Schizosaccharomyces pombe: one gene and its partner. The protein of the gene in region 2 interacts with the protein of the main gene of each other region in a biochemical or structural test. Each region holds a gene or a part of one and is shown on either strand. Other genes may lie near its edges.

Evidence for each region.
Region 1: of the proteins of rlc1 (region 2) and shk1, one has a biochemical effect on the other in vitro, tested with the Schizosaccharomyces pombe proteins (one study listed by BioGRID).

Annotation. Positions count from the first base shown.
Region 1 is NC_003423.3:3,901,613-3,908,093, reverse strand, and holds shk1 (PAK-like kinase Shk1), read right to left. Parts: upstream 3,479-6,481; 5' UTR 3,013-3,478; coding exon 1,036-3,012; 3' UTR 501-1,035; downstream 1-500. Other genes in the region: gpi16 (pig-T family GPI synthesis protein), read left to right, coding at 4,037-5,674; SPOM_SPBC1604.16C (G-patch type RNA-binding protein), read right to left, coding at 5,863-6,462. UniProt on the Schizosaccharomyces pombe protein: MAP4K component of the MAPK pathway required for the mating pheromone response. Phosphorylates histone H2B to form H2BS10ph. Phosphorylates tea1. Required for skb1-dependent mitotic inhibitory function. Regulates microtubule dynamics and cell polarity.
Region 2 is NC_003424.3:3,883,285-3,890,222, forward strand, and holds rlc1 (myosin II regulatory light chain Rlc1), read left to right. Parts: upstream 1-3,977; 5' UTR 3,978-4,285; coding exon 4,286-4,840; 3' UTR 4,841-5,213; downstream 5,214-6,938. Other genes in the region: protein tyrosine phosphatase Stp1, read right to left, coding at 337-807; SPOM_SPAC926.02 (uncharacterized protein), read left to right, coding at 1,260-1,403, 1,560-2,747; protein Ina22, read right to left, coding at 2,813-2,986; Hsp90 chaperone, read right to left, coding at 5,490-6,938.

The DNA.
Region 1 (6,481 bases), on a different chromosome or scaffold from region 2:
TGCTGAACAATATTTTAAAAGTTTTCTCAAGGTAAGGCGAACTTAGTTACTGCAGAACTTGATCTTAATTATATAGTTATAAAACGATGCATATAGCCGTTTTCTAAAACCAGTAGACCCAATCACAGATAGATTTACGATCTCCGAGAAAAGAGTTTGAAATAATTGGAAGTCGTCAAAAGGAAACTTAAAGACCAGTTACTTTGGTTTCGAGACAATGCTTAAGAAGTAGGCTGCTGCCTAAATCTATAGTCTGCTGTTGAGTAGTAATAACCCATGTATAACGAGACTCCTCAAATTCACTATTGCTTTGGCTTGACATTTAAATGCTAAGTGCGCTCTCTCTTTATTAAGTCTCGCAGTTTAATGTTGACAATTTTCTTAAGCTCATGAACTACGCTACAATCATAGTCCATTTAATTATTTGAAGTTTTCTACGTATTTGTACTAATTTTAGTAGATCAAAAATTTTGTGAAATATTCCAGCAGGCGTTTCACTTTGAGATTCCACATAATTGAAATTGAAACATCGCTTTAAAAGATTCAAACCTATTTTGACTGATTCAAGATCAATCTCAGAATCATGTACTTACATTTTGAATACTTTGATAAGTTAGTCTTCCTTTTAGTTTTTTTATAATGCATTGCGAATATTAAAAAGTTGAGACTTTTAGAAAGAAGCATTGTCTCATTTATTATAAAAATTATCCAAGTGTCACTGAGATCATTCTTGGCAGTAAGAAAAAAACAAAAAAAAAGGAACAGATAAGTAAAGTATGCACTAGAAAAAGGAATTAAAGTAAAGCAAAAAAGTAGTTAAAATGTACTCTGTTTGAATCTGCCCAACCTGCGGATATGGATTTTAGTGGAGGAGGCAAAAAAATAAACTCAGGTACATATATTCTAACGAACTGCAAAAGCATATTAACGATAAATAAACAATGTGAGAAGAAACAGTTTTTAAGCAAACGTTGGAGGATATTCCGAAACTTCTAACAGCAGATGTTTACTCAAAAACTTTTTTGACAAGTTAGCCTATTTACCAGAATGATGTATGGATTTTATCAAAGGGATAAGGGATGAAACTGGAACGGCTTGCTTAAGAAACGGATGCCTTAAAAGCTCACCGGAGCTAGGGCGTTGCTTAGGATTAACAGTTAAAGATTTAGAAAGAAAATCATGGAAAACAGAACTTAACAATTCTGGCCGACTAATCTTTGGAGTACCAATAGTAGCAATTAAATATAGAGCACGTAAAGGATTTTCGTTTAAATACGGGGGCTCTCCCTCTACCATCTCTATAGCCATAATACCAAGACTCCAGACATCAACTTTGAAACCATATTCCTTTCTAGTAACGACTTCTGGAGCCATCCAATATGGAGTACCAACCATCGTCGTTCGTTTCGTCATGTTACTGTCGATCTGAGCACAAAACCCAAAATCGGTAAGTTTAATATCTCCTTGAAGTGAGAGAAGGATATTGTCTGATTTTATGTCACGGTGAACAATGCCATTTTCATGGAGATGCTGTAAGCCTTCCAACGTTTCCTTACATATTGCAGCTATCTGACCTTCTGAAAGAGTGTTATTGGTAACCACTTCAGTAAGACTGCCACCGCGCATGTATTCCATTACCATCCACAACTCTGATTTATAGAAGAAAGTGTCAATAAAATTGACAATGTTTTTGTGATGATGTGACTTCATCACGAGTATTTCATTGACAATAAATTCCTTTTTTGGCTGTTGATTAATGTTCATTTTCTTGATGGCAACAGAAAGATTAGTGCCGACTTGGCGAGCAGAATACACATCACCAGAAGCACCTTGACCAATTTTAACAAAATTTCGATATAAAAGTGTTGGATTTTTGGGATTGCATATAGACTGTAACTTTGCCAATACAGCAGAATCATTGGATTGTTGTCGAGGTGCACGCTTTTGAAGTCGAGGGGCACTTGGTGCTTCCACTTTTTGAGGAGTCGCAACAGCTTTCGGTTTGGTGCTAGTCTCGGCTCTCCGTTGATATGGTGTCGAGTTATTCGGACGGATATGTTTCGTTTCAGATGTACTTAAGGTTTGAGGCGTTAACAAAACAGGGGAATGACTTCGGATTATATTATCGGTTGACTTGCTGGAAACTAATGGAGAAGGTTGTCGAGAAGCATTAGAGGTAGTAGTTTTAACTGTTTGTGATGATAATAAAGGAGACGATGAAGAACTTGCAGGAGGCGTGGGAGCAGGTCGAGAAGGATACAAACGAGAAGATGAGCTTGTAGCAGAGGTGGGTTGAAGATGAGAACTACTAGACAACGCTGAAACGGAGAGTAAAGGCTTCTCAGTACTTTCACGGGGAAAGGGTGGCTTTGCTCCCTCCTCAAGATATTTCTTGGATTGGGAATAAAAAGCCATAGCGTCCAAAACGGCCTGTGGATGTTGTACTTGTTCCGACTTTGTAATGCCACTGACTTTTAGTAGTGCCTGCCATTCAGTAGGCATTCCAGTAAATTCCCCAGTATCATAATTAAAACCAACGTGAGTGACATGCTTCGGATCAAATGGAGAAGAGATGACAGTCGATTTGCGAGGGCTGGCAGAGCCTGACCCATAGGAACTTGTAGGACTGCTACCACCCCCAGTTAAGAACGAACTCATGCTCGAGACAAAGTTTTCAAACGCAGACTTCTTTTGGTTCCTTTCATCATATGAACGCACATCAGAAACATTAGTCTGAAGTTTTCTAATGGAACTGCTACTATGCTGACGAGAACCAAGTGAAACCCTAGATACAGTTGTACGGGATTGAGATAAAGGGAAACCGGAAAAGGTGTCTTCAGCAAGATTAGTATTTATAGCTGGAGGCTTTGGAGCTGTCCTGCTGGGCTTCAGTTTTCTCAAATCATCTTCTACTTCATAACGTACAGGTTCACCAGTTTTATGAGCAACAATAGGGGTTATTCCATAGCCATTTGGAGCCTTCTTTCGAGGTTGTAAAGTCCCTCTTTCCATAGTAAATAAATTTATTAACGAAAAGGGTAAAGAAAAACAGAAATAGGACTATGGCAAATGTGTTGCAGAACGAAGGAATAAGTTTCAGTATGCAAAAAAAAAACAAAAAGACAAGAATAGAGCACTTAAGTTGAAAAGGATTTTTCTCCTAGTAAGAGGCGCAAAGGGCACAGTAACTTGTGCCGCTGCCACTTTTATGAGGAATCAGTTGTACAGATTAACAACCGAAAAGGAAACTTTTGAAATAGATCCTTTTCAAAAAGAAAAGAATATCAAAGAATCTACTCAATTGACTAAATCTCTATAAATGATAAACTAGAACACGAAGGTCGCGTCAGCACTGTTTACTTGGATAATTTTCTTGATAGTTTAATGTATAGTTCTAAATTAAACAAAACTTATAAGACTTCGGTGGTATACTCGCTGGCGCATAAAGAAGTATAAAGTAGGTTACTGGGTTGTTGGTGAAGATCAAGTTCTAAGCGTAGGGTTGAATGCTACTATCACTTCAGTAGCAAGTTTTGATTCAATATTCACCAGCAAGCATATTATCTTATATTAATTTCACTAATCAGTTAGGATTTATAAAAAAGATCTTTTTGTTATAAAGTCTTAAATCAGTGAATTTGAAAAAGCAAGTTCTTTTTGGAATTCGCCTTTAACATCCCATAACCTACTGAGATATTCTATTTCATTCGACAATTGTGTACTGGCTTTTTGTTTAATTACCATTCTTGCATTTTTTTTATTAAGTGAACGCTGCAATAACTTTTATCTGGTACTGTGATTGTACTCATGAAAGTTAAATCTGATTCACGAATAACTTCGAAAAGTACTACTTAAATTCACATCGAGATCAGTTTGTCCATTAACTGTTTCCTATTTCTCTTAAAAGATCCTTCTATTCGAAAGAAAATCAATTGTTAGGTTCTCATTTGGTCACAATACATCGTATCGCATTAGTTTTCTAATTTTCATTTATTATACTCAAATACTTTTAAATTGTCAGGTTTCTTTGTTAGATATGAAAAAAAACGGATGTTTATTATTATTTGCTTACAGCTTGCTTTCCTTTTCATTAACGGCAGCAACTATAGACGAGACTTATGATGAATCTCTATTCATAAAGAGCTTTTCAAGTCGCTACTCATATGTTTCATTCGCATTTGAAATCGGTGCATCAACTGACAGTACACATTCTTCAGTATTCTCCGAATCAAGCTTCTCTTTGTTTCCTTTATCTATAGCCCGAGTAATGGACGAATGTCAGGTTTCAGAGCTACATATTCGAGCAACCCGTGGTCGATGGGACTATGAAAATTGGAAAGAGTCTCCCGACAATGGTTTTTATTCGGGTGGATTGGGTTTTGAAGTTTGGGCTTTCATGGCGAATGATCCCAGCATGAAGTATTGGTTGAAATTGACTAACCAACTTTCTGGCTTACTTTGTGCTTCACTAAATTATATTGATAGTTCCAACACTTATCAACCACAACTTTCATATCCAGGCTCCTTTTCGTTTTCCAATAACACTCAATATTTTGCTTCGCTCCCTCAAGAAGATGTCTGTACTGAAAACTTATCTCCGCTTTTCAAGCTTCTCCCTTGTAAGAGAAAAGCAGGAATTGCCAGTCTATTGGATAGCCATTTGTTTTTTGATACGGATTGGCACTCCTTTTCCATAGATGTTTATCCTTCAGAAAATCAGTCTCTTGCTTCAGTCAAGATGGGCATTATAATTCAAGCGGTGGTAGATGTAGAAAGGAACGGAAGGAGAAAGGGCAAAACAACTTTTCAACCTCCTTCTGAATATTGCCATGATGAGGATATGGATTCTCTGCATTGTCTAATGTCTGGTTATTCAACCGAACATCATACCGTGGATGATCTTTTTCATAAAGTGCCTAAGGAAAGATGTCTACTTTCCTCAACTTTTTCTGACGTTTTTGTTTCAAATGGCGATAAAATTGACACTTTTAGTTTAGACGAAGCTGCAAATATTCAAATCCCTATTCAATCTACTTCCGATAATCATACAGTCACTGTTGATCGTTCCCTTTCGAACGATGGCAACCATTGGGGAAGTTTGTCTTCTACAATTTACAATCCCTCATCTTCTCCTCGAACTATTGTTTATTTTGAAAAATTTCCTTGGTTCGTGCGCGTGTACTTACATACTTTAACTATCACTTTGAATGGAACACGTATTAATACTAAAGATTTTATTGAAAAATTGTATTATCAACCGTTAAGAGATCGCAAGGCAGGCACGATGATGGAAATCCAGTTTTCAATACCTCCACATACAAATCTGATTGTTCATTTTAATGTAGAAAAAACACCCTTACGCCTAGACGAATATCCTCCCGATGCAAATCGTGGTTACAATCTTCCTCCAGCAATAATCAGCGTGTTTGATGAAAACAATACCAAGCTTTGTAGCCTACGAACTGCTGCGCTTCTAATGTTCATTCCTACACCAGATTTTAGTATGCCGTATAACGTAATCATATTTACTTCAACAGTTATAGCGCTTACATTTGGGGGTATATTTAATTTGCTTACTCGGCGGTTTGTACCTCAACAATCAAAATTTCAAAACAGGCAGCCCTCCATGTTACAAAGACTAAAAGAAAAAATATTTCATAAGAAAAGAGGGTGATGCTATCCTTAATTAATGTGTTTCCACAACAAAACCTCATGAAAAAAAAACATCCAATTGTGTTTTAACTGAACACTATAGATTTATAACCAATCGACTAAACACTATAAAATATGTACATTCAATGGGACAAATTTAGCACACTTAAAATTGTTAATGACGTTTGGACATATGCAAGAAGGATAAACTCAATTAGACGAAAAATGTTTAATTAAAGCTTCTTTAAGGCGTACATCCTTTGAGTGTTGGATTTGGCACTGACGCTTGCCTTTGCGACATTTATTTACTGCAACTTTCTCCAAATCAATCTTGGTACCGAGTCCAATCGTATCATTTTTTACACGAAATGCTCTAACCGGGGCACGACGACCCTGATTTTCCAAACCCAATCCAGCAGTATCTCCTTGGGGAGACCAACCATACTGAGAAAGAACTCGATAACCAAGGCTTTTTGGTTTTAATAAATGGGGTTGAAATTTGTTTGAAATATGTTGTGAAGAAAGAAGGTGAGTCATTGATTTAAAATGATTAATTTTTTTGCTATTTGGAATGTATATTTGACACACTTCACAAGCAAAACCAGCTTCGTCCCTCTTGCTGTTCATAGTATGCGAATTATCCCTATCATTTTCAAATAACGAATGATAAAATGCTTGTGCCGATCCTTTTTCAATAAAAGTGGCTTCGTCCAACGATTGTTCACTAGTGGCTTTTACGAATGAAACCCTACGACCATTTTTATAAAAACCATAAGAATTTGACAGCTCCATATTTCCTTTATTCTCCATTTTCCATCGTTTTTCGAAT
Region 2 (6,938 bases):
ATGCAAGTAATCATGCCTACTTTAAAAAATGATTCAGCCAGGAATGTTGGGTCCGTGTTCTCCATGCTATTTAATATTCTTTCTTTTATATTTTCATTAATTTATGTGTACTATGTATTTCTTTCTAGGGTATATAGCTAGAAAGACTTACGTAAAGAAAGGTTGTACGACTTTATTCAATTGTTTTTATTTTTTGATACAGTTTTTGTAAAATAGGCCAGTCAAAACGTACGCAACTAAAAATCAATATTTTAAATTCTAGAAGCATTTCTATCGTTGGATTTTTGGGCGAACTTAATACCTTTAAAAGCTGTACATTTTCTATTCAAACTTAAACTAAGCAATGGATTTGAGGAAATTTTGAGAAAAATCTACTAATTGGATATAGCAATCTCCAAAACCATCGCTTCCTCCATAATAAGGGTCATCAACGATTTTTGAAACTCCTGGACTAGCATATTCTCCAAAAAGCATGACTTTAGCACGGCTACCTTGAGGTTTAACACGATTAATGTTTCGCAAATTTGACGAATCCATTGCAAAAATGTAGTCAAAGTTTTTAAAATCAGACGTTGAAAGTTTCCTTGCCAAATGTTTGGTATGAATGCCATTCTTTTTAAGTACTTCGAGAGTTCGTGGATCAGGTCGATTTCCTACATGCCATGCACCAGTGCCACAGCTATCAATGGTGTCAAAACGTGCCTCGAGTCCAGCCTTTTCTACTTCATTTCGAAAAACTGCCTCAGCCATTGGACTTCTGCAAATGTTTCCCAAGCATACAAAAAGTACTTGAATATTCTTGGTCATAGTTTATAGTATATTCTTGGGATTTTTGATGAGTCAAAATTTCCTCTTCTATTTGTAATGTATAGATATTATAGAAGGTGTAAGTTTAAATGAAAGACAAGCGAATTTTTACCACAGTTAATTGGTAATAAAAAAGTTTGAACTTTTGGTAGGTGCACCTCCCGTTTTTAACAATATTGAAAAATACTAAAAAGTAACTACAATGTTTCCAAATATTTAAGGAATGTTGAATGTAAAACGAAAGTGATCGTATTTTCACGTTTCAAGGTAGTAGAGGAAAATGCAAAGACATGTCAAATTAGTGCAACCTCAATTGTCCATTACCAATTAATGTTGACTGTCACAATCTTTTATTTTTACTGATTACAATATATTGCATTTTATTTCTCATACATAACTTTTTTATTTTATTTTGTTTTAAGCATTTGCATACATTTTTTGGAATATCAGATATGAGTTTCTCTAGAAATCAAGTGCTAAAAGGACTAAAGACGAAAAAAGCCAAACCTAAGAAAAACCCGACTGTAGATGAACTCTTTGAAATAGCTATTGATCTAGAAGAAAGTGGGGATCGCTGGCGATTGGAACCTGCAAAGGTATGTACAAAGCTATAATGGTGAATTTCAAAAACGTTTGAACATGATCATTCATACGAATTGTAATATTAGTTTTGAGAAACAAATAGAATTTACGCTTTTTTGCGCCGAGTTCTCAATACTTGAGCACGTGAAATTAAAACTAACAAGCAATAGTGTTTAAGATTTTATCAAAAATCCCTTGAAACATATGATAGATATTTATTACAATGTCCGAATGATTTTGATGCTCGTTTTAATAAAGCAAGATTGCTACTCAATATGGCTACAAACTGCGATATGCTATACAAAGATTCACAAGTATGCCTCCAGAAAAGTATTGAGATGCATAAGCACGCCTTATTATTACAAGAGGCCCCAGATATTTGGTTCAACCTTGCGCAGGTTCATCTTAATTTGGCTGAGATTTGGGTGGATCTTGATCGCGAAGATTTGGCATATCCTGAAATCCAGCAAGCACTGCAATCCATTTCACATAGCATTGATTTACAAGAACGAGAAAGAATTGAATGGGAAAATACTATACAAACATCGTCGCAACAAAAATATGAAGAAATACCTGACATACAGGCTCGACGATTATACTTTATAGAAGCAGACAAAGAGGCATCGACATTAGTTACCGAAATTGCTTCTTTAGCATGCAGTTGCAAGTTACTTGAAGAATCAGATTTTGAGAAACTCTGTCAGATAATGCTACCGATTACGGAAAAACTCGATATATTAAAGCTAATGGACTGGTACTTGGCGAAAACCAAACGTTTAGTACTTGGTGGTAAAGAAAATGAGGTGGCATGGATTGATTTACTGCAAGTTTTTGACCATCAACTTAGCCAATTACCACAGCTAAACTTGCAAAACCCGTTGGATCCGAACTCGTCTGTTAAACCTTTGCATATTCAATTGCTGTGCGACAAAGCCGATGCATACATAGACTTTGCAGAGACGCTACTAGATTCCTGCGTATCTACAGAAGAAAGCGCATCTATTGAAATAATGACTAGAGCCTGGAATATGTTAGGAGTAGCTGCCAAAAGTTTAAAGATGGCTAACACTTACAATCCTAATCATGTAAGAATACTCATTTCTAGAGCTGACTTAGAGATTCAACGTGCAGCTATCCCCATCATGGTAGCTCAAAACTCCAAACTTGTGTTGTATAAAAATGCCAAAGTATTATACGAAAAAGCATTCCGTGATTATTCAACCAAAAAGACAACAAGAACGTTTGCGGAGATTGTCTTAAAGCATTATCAACTACAGAAATTGACCAACCCAGAAACGATTAAGATGCTGGACTCCTTAACTGAGGTTGCTCAAGAAGACATTCTCAATACCATTTAAAGAAACAGACGTTTCTTACTTAATTTGGCAGGCTAATTAGTGAATCCAATTATAAATATAAAGTTTTACTTTGTTTCATTACTTGTATCATCAAATTCATGTTTCGCTAGCCGAATTTTTGCATCGTATTGTTTCATACGCTCCAAATGATCTTGCTTCAGAGCATTCAGATGAAATGCTTCGCTACCGATGATGAGCCATAATAGCCCGAACGTATACGTTGATGACCAACGTAACATGGAAAAAATTGACTTTTAACTAAAAAAAACTGTTTCTAATATCTTTGGTGTGCAAGTTCAGACTCAGTATTTGGAGTAGCTGCTGTAATTAATCGATATAATATAAATCACAAATGATTGAGCCTTTTAAAGGCGTTGAACACTTAAGAATCAAAACTCCAAAATACCGAAAGACAAAGAGAAAAAGAAAATCAATATTTTTCGCTCGAAATAAGGATTACCATTAAGACAAGTTTTGACTGTACGGAACTGTGTAGGATAACGGTAAATCAATTTTCTGCAATGCTTTGATATTTATTGACTTTCATTAAATCTCTGTAAATCAGAATTTCTATTGTCTATCTAGTTTTGTCCATTAAATCAGAAATTATTCAGTTTCTATTATTGTTACTTTTTATTTATAATAAGGATTTGTTTAATTCAACCGAATAATGCTAGTTGGTTCTTAAAGTCATACTCCTTATTTCCTTCATTCCCAGCCTACTCAGTCTTTGCCCGCAAAAAGATATTTCAAGGCCTATTTGATTTAACTCATTTATTCAAATTTCACTTTTTGTTAACTGAGTTTTACTTTTGTTCAACCTTGACAGCTCAGCGAAATTAGTGTAAATAAATAAAATCAAAAGAAGCGCTAATTCAAGAGGCCTTTTTGATTCTACTTTTTACTGTGTATACAACTTATAAATGACATTATATCCTTGACAAATTTGCTTACGTTTGTTTCAACTTTTATTAACCCCTCGAAATTAAATTATTATTATGCTCATGGCATTGTTGATCAAACATTGAGATTTGATTAAGCATATAAAATAATAATCATAAGAAATAAAACACTATGATAAATATAATTCTTCTAAATGTATACTAAAAAAAAAAATCCTTGAGAGTTCGCCTTTTCTCTAATTTTAACGGCACCAAACGTGGGTCATTAAAGACTAACATCTCCTTTGTTCTCAGTATTCCATGCCTATGTTAAATTCTGAGACTTACCAAGAGCTTGAATATCAACAATCATAGGTTACTTCCTATATGTCTATTTATAGATTTTTTTACAACTAATTGTCAGATACATTTACTTAGAGAATTCTTAGCTTTCCCTTTTGAATATTTCAAGTCTTAGCATTTAGTGACTGATTTAGACTCCTTTTTTATGACTTGCTGATATCCTCGCCTTACGGTGTATAAAATTCATATTTACCGCTATTGCAGTAAGGGCAGCAGTTTTTTTCATTTCTTAATTCTTCCGTACTTTACTTTACAGCATAACTATATCTTATTTGATCATTTGCTCTGTTAACGATGTTCTCTTCGAAGGAAAATTCCTTAGGTGCTAAACGTGCCCCATTTTCATCAAATACAACATCTTCTCAAAGAGTTGCTGCCCAAGCCGCTAAACGAGCATCTTCTGGTGCATTTGCGCAACTTACTTCTTCCCAAATTCAAGAACTTAAAGAGGCTTTTGCCCTATTAGACAAAGATGGTGACGGTAATATTGGAAGAGAGGATGTCAAAACCATGCTTACTTCTTTGAATCAGGATGCCTCCGAAGATTCAATCAATCACATGTTTGAGTCAATAAATCCGCCTATTAATTTAGCCGCTTTTCTCACTGCGATGGGTAGTATGCTGTGTCGAATCTCCCCCAGAAATGATCTACTAGAAGCGTTCTCTACATTCGATGATACTCAATCCGGCAAAATTCCAATTTCCACTATGAGAGATGCTTTGTCAAGTATGGGTGATAGAATGGATCCTCAAGAAGTCGAGTCTATTTTACGCTCGTACACCAGTCATGGTGTATTCTATTACGAGAAATTCGTTGATGCTATTGCTGGGTCAAAAGATAGCAATTGAGTTAAGAGCAGCCAGATATGTTTCACATTCTTCCCTCTAATACTTTATCTTTTTAACCTGAGCCATTTCCCTTAGACGAATTTTCCTCTTCTCTTTTAACTTTTTATGAAAGCATTTGATACATTTATGTTCGTTGTGACCTATACTTTATGTGTCTCAATACTTAGCTACTCTCTGCGACTTTACTATTATTTGCAGTGTTTAGTGAGTTAGAGCTTAGGCTTAATGTCATTAACCATATTTTCATTCGAGGGTTCAATTAATGTATGAATAAATCTATATTAGCCCAGCATACCTATGTTCCTCATCAAAATTATCCTACCTTGTAAAACAGCTCTCACATGACTAGAAAAAAATAACTTTTAAGCACCAACTTGTACTTGTTAGTAGTATAAACTACATTATTCGAAAACAAAATTTGATGTACTAATAAGTATCCATAAACTTTAATATTACTAATCAACATTCCATATTATAACAACTTCCAAACAACCTGTAATCTAGTGTGTATTAAGAAAAATCGTGTAGAAAGAAATTTTTGAATGACAACAGACACTAGAATCGTTAACAATGTATAGGATAACTTGCTTTAATCCAAGAAAAACATTATATGCATAAATTTTGGAAAGACACATTAGATGCATTTGATTTAATCGACTTCCTCCATCTTGCTCTCAGCATTGTTTTCAGCAGCGACGGATTCGGTAGAAATTTCCTCAATAGGAGCCTCCTCCTCTTCGTCAATGCTAAGACCAAGAGAAATAAGACGGTTGATACGTTGAGCATAAGCACTAGGGTCATCAAGAGTGAAACCAGAGGACAACAAGGCGGTCTCATACAAAATAGTAGCAAGATCCTTCACAGAGCGGTCTTCGGCACCATTCTCCTCAACCTTCTTCTTGAGCTCAGCAATGATGGGAGACTTGGGGTTAATCTCAAAAGTCTTGCGGCTAGACATATAGGCACTCATAGAAGTATCACGAAGGGCTTGAGCCTTCATGATACGTTCCATGTTAGCAGACCAACCATATTGACCGGTAGTTAACAAGCAAGGAGAACCAACAATCTTGTTAGAAACAACAACCTTTTCAACCTTGTCACCCAAAATGGTCTTAAGTTGCTTAGCAAACTCCTCATACTCTTTTTCGAGCTTCTCGCGAGCAGCCTTCTCCTCGTCAGTCTCTTCCAACTCAAGACCATCCTTAGTAATGTTAACCAATTTCTTGCCCTCGAATTCCTTGAGTTGAGTGACAGCGTACTCATCAATGGGGTCAACCATGAAGAGAACATCAAACTTCTTGGCACGGAAGATTTCCAAGAAGGGAGAGTTCTCAACGGCTTGCTTAGATTCACCAGTGATGAAATAAATGTTCTTTTGATGTTCGGGCATCTTAGTGATGTAGTCCTCAAGACTGATAAGATCATCAGGGGAGTTAAGGGAGTTGTAACGCAAAAGCTTGGCTAAAGCAGGGCGGTTAGCAGCATCCTCATGGATACCAAGCTTCAAATTCTTGCTGAAAGCATCGTAGAAAGTCTTGAAGTTCTCCTTGTCCTCGGCAATCTCGTTGAACATATCAAGACAACGACGGACAAGGTTCTTACGAATAACCTTCATGATCTTGTTTTGTTGAAGCATCTCACGAGACAAGTTCAAGGGCAAGTCCTCAGAATCAACAACACCCTTAATGAAACCCAACCATTCAGGAATCAACTCTTCACAGTCGTCGGTAATGAAAACACGGCGAACATAGAGCTTGATGTTGTTCTTCTTACGCTTGGCCTCAAAAAGGTCCATAGGAGCGCGGCGGGGGACGAAAAGAATGGCACGGAATTCCAATTGACCTTCAACGCTGAAGTGCTTGACGGCCAAATGGTCTTCCCAGTCGTTAGTCAAAGACTTGTAGAAAGAGGCATACTCTTCCTTGGTAACTTCACTGGGGTTGCGAGTCCAAATGGGCTTGGTCTTGTTCAACTCCTCAGTCTCAGTGGTGGTCTCCTTGACCTTCTTGGTCTTCTTCTCCTTCTTCTCAGATTCATCATCAACCTCCTCAATCTTAGGAGCCTTATCGTCTTCTTCATTCTTAACTTCTTCGGTCTC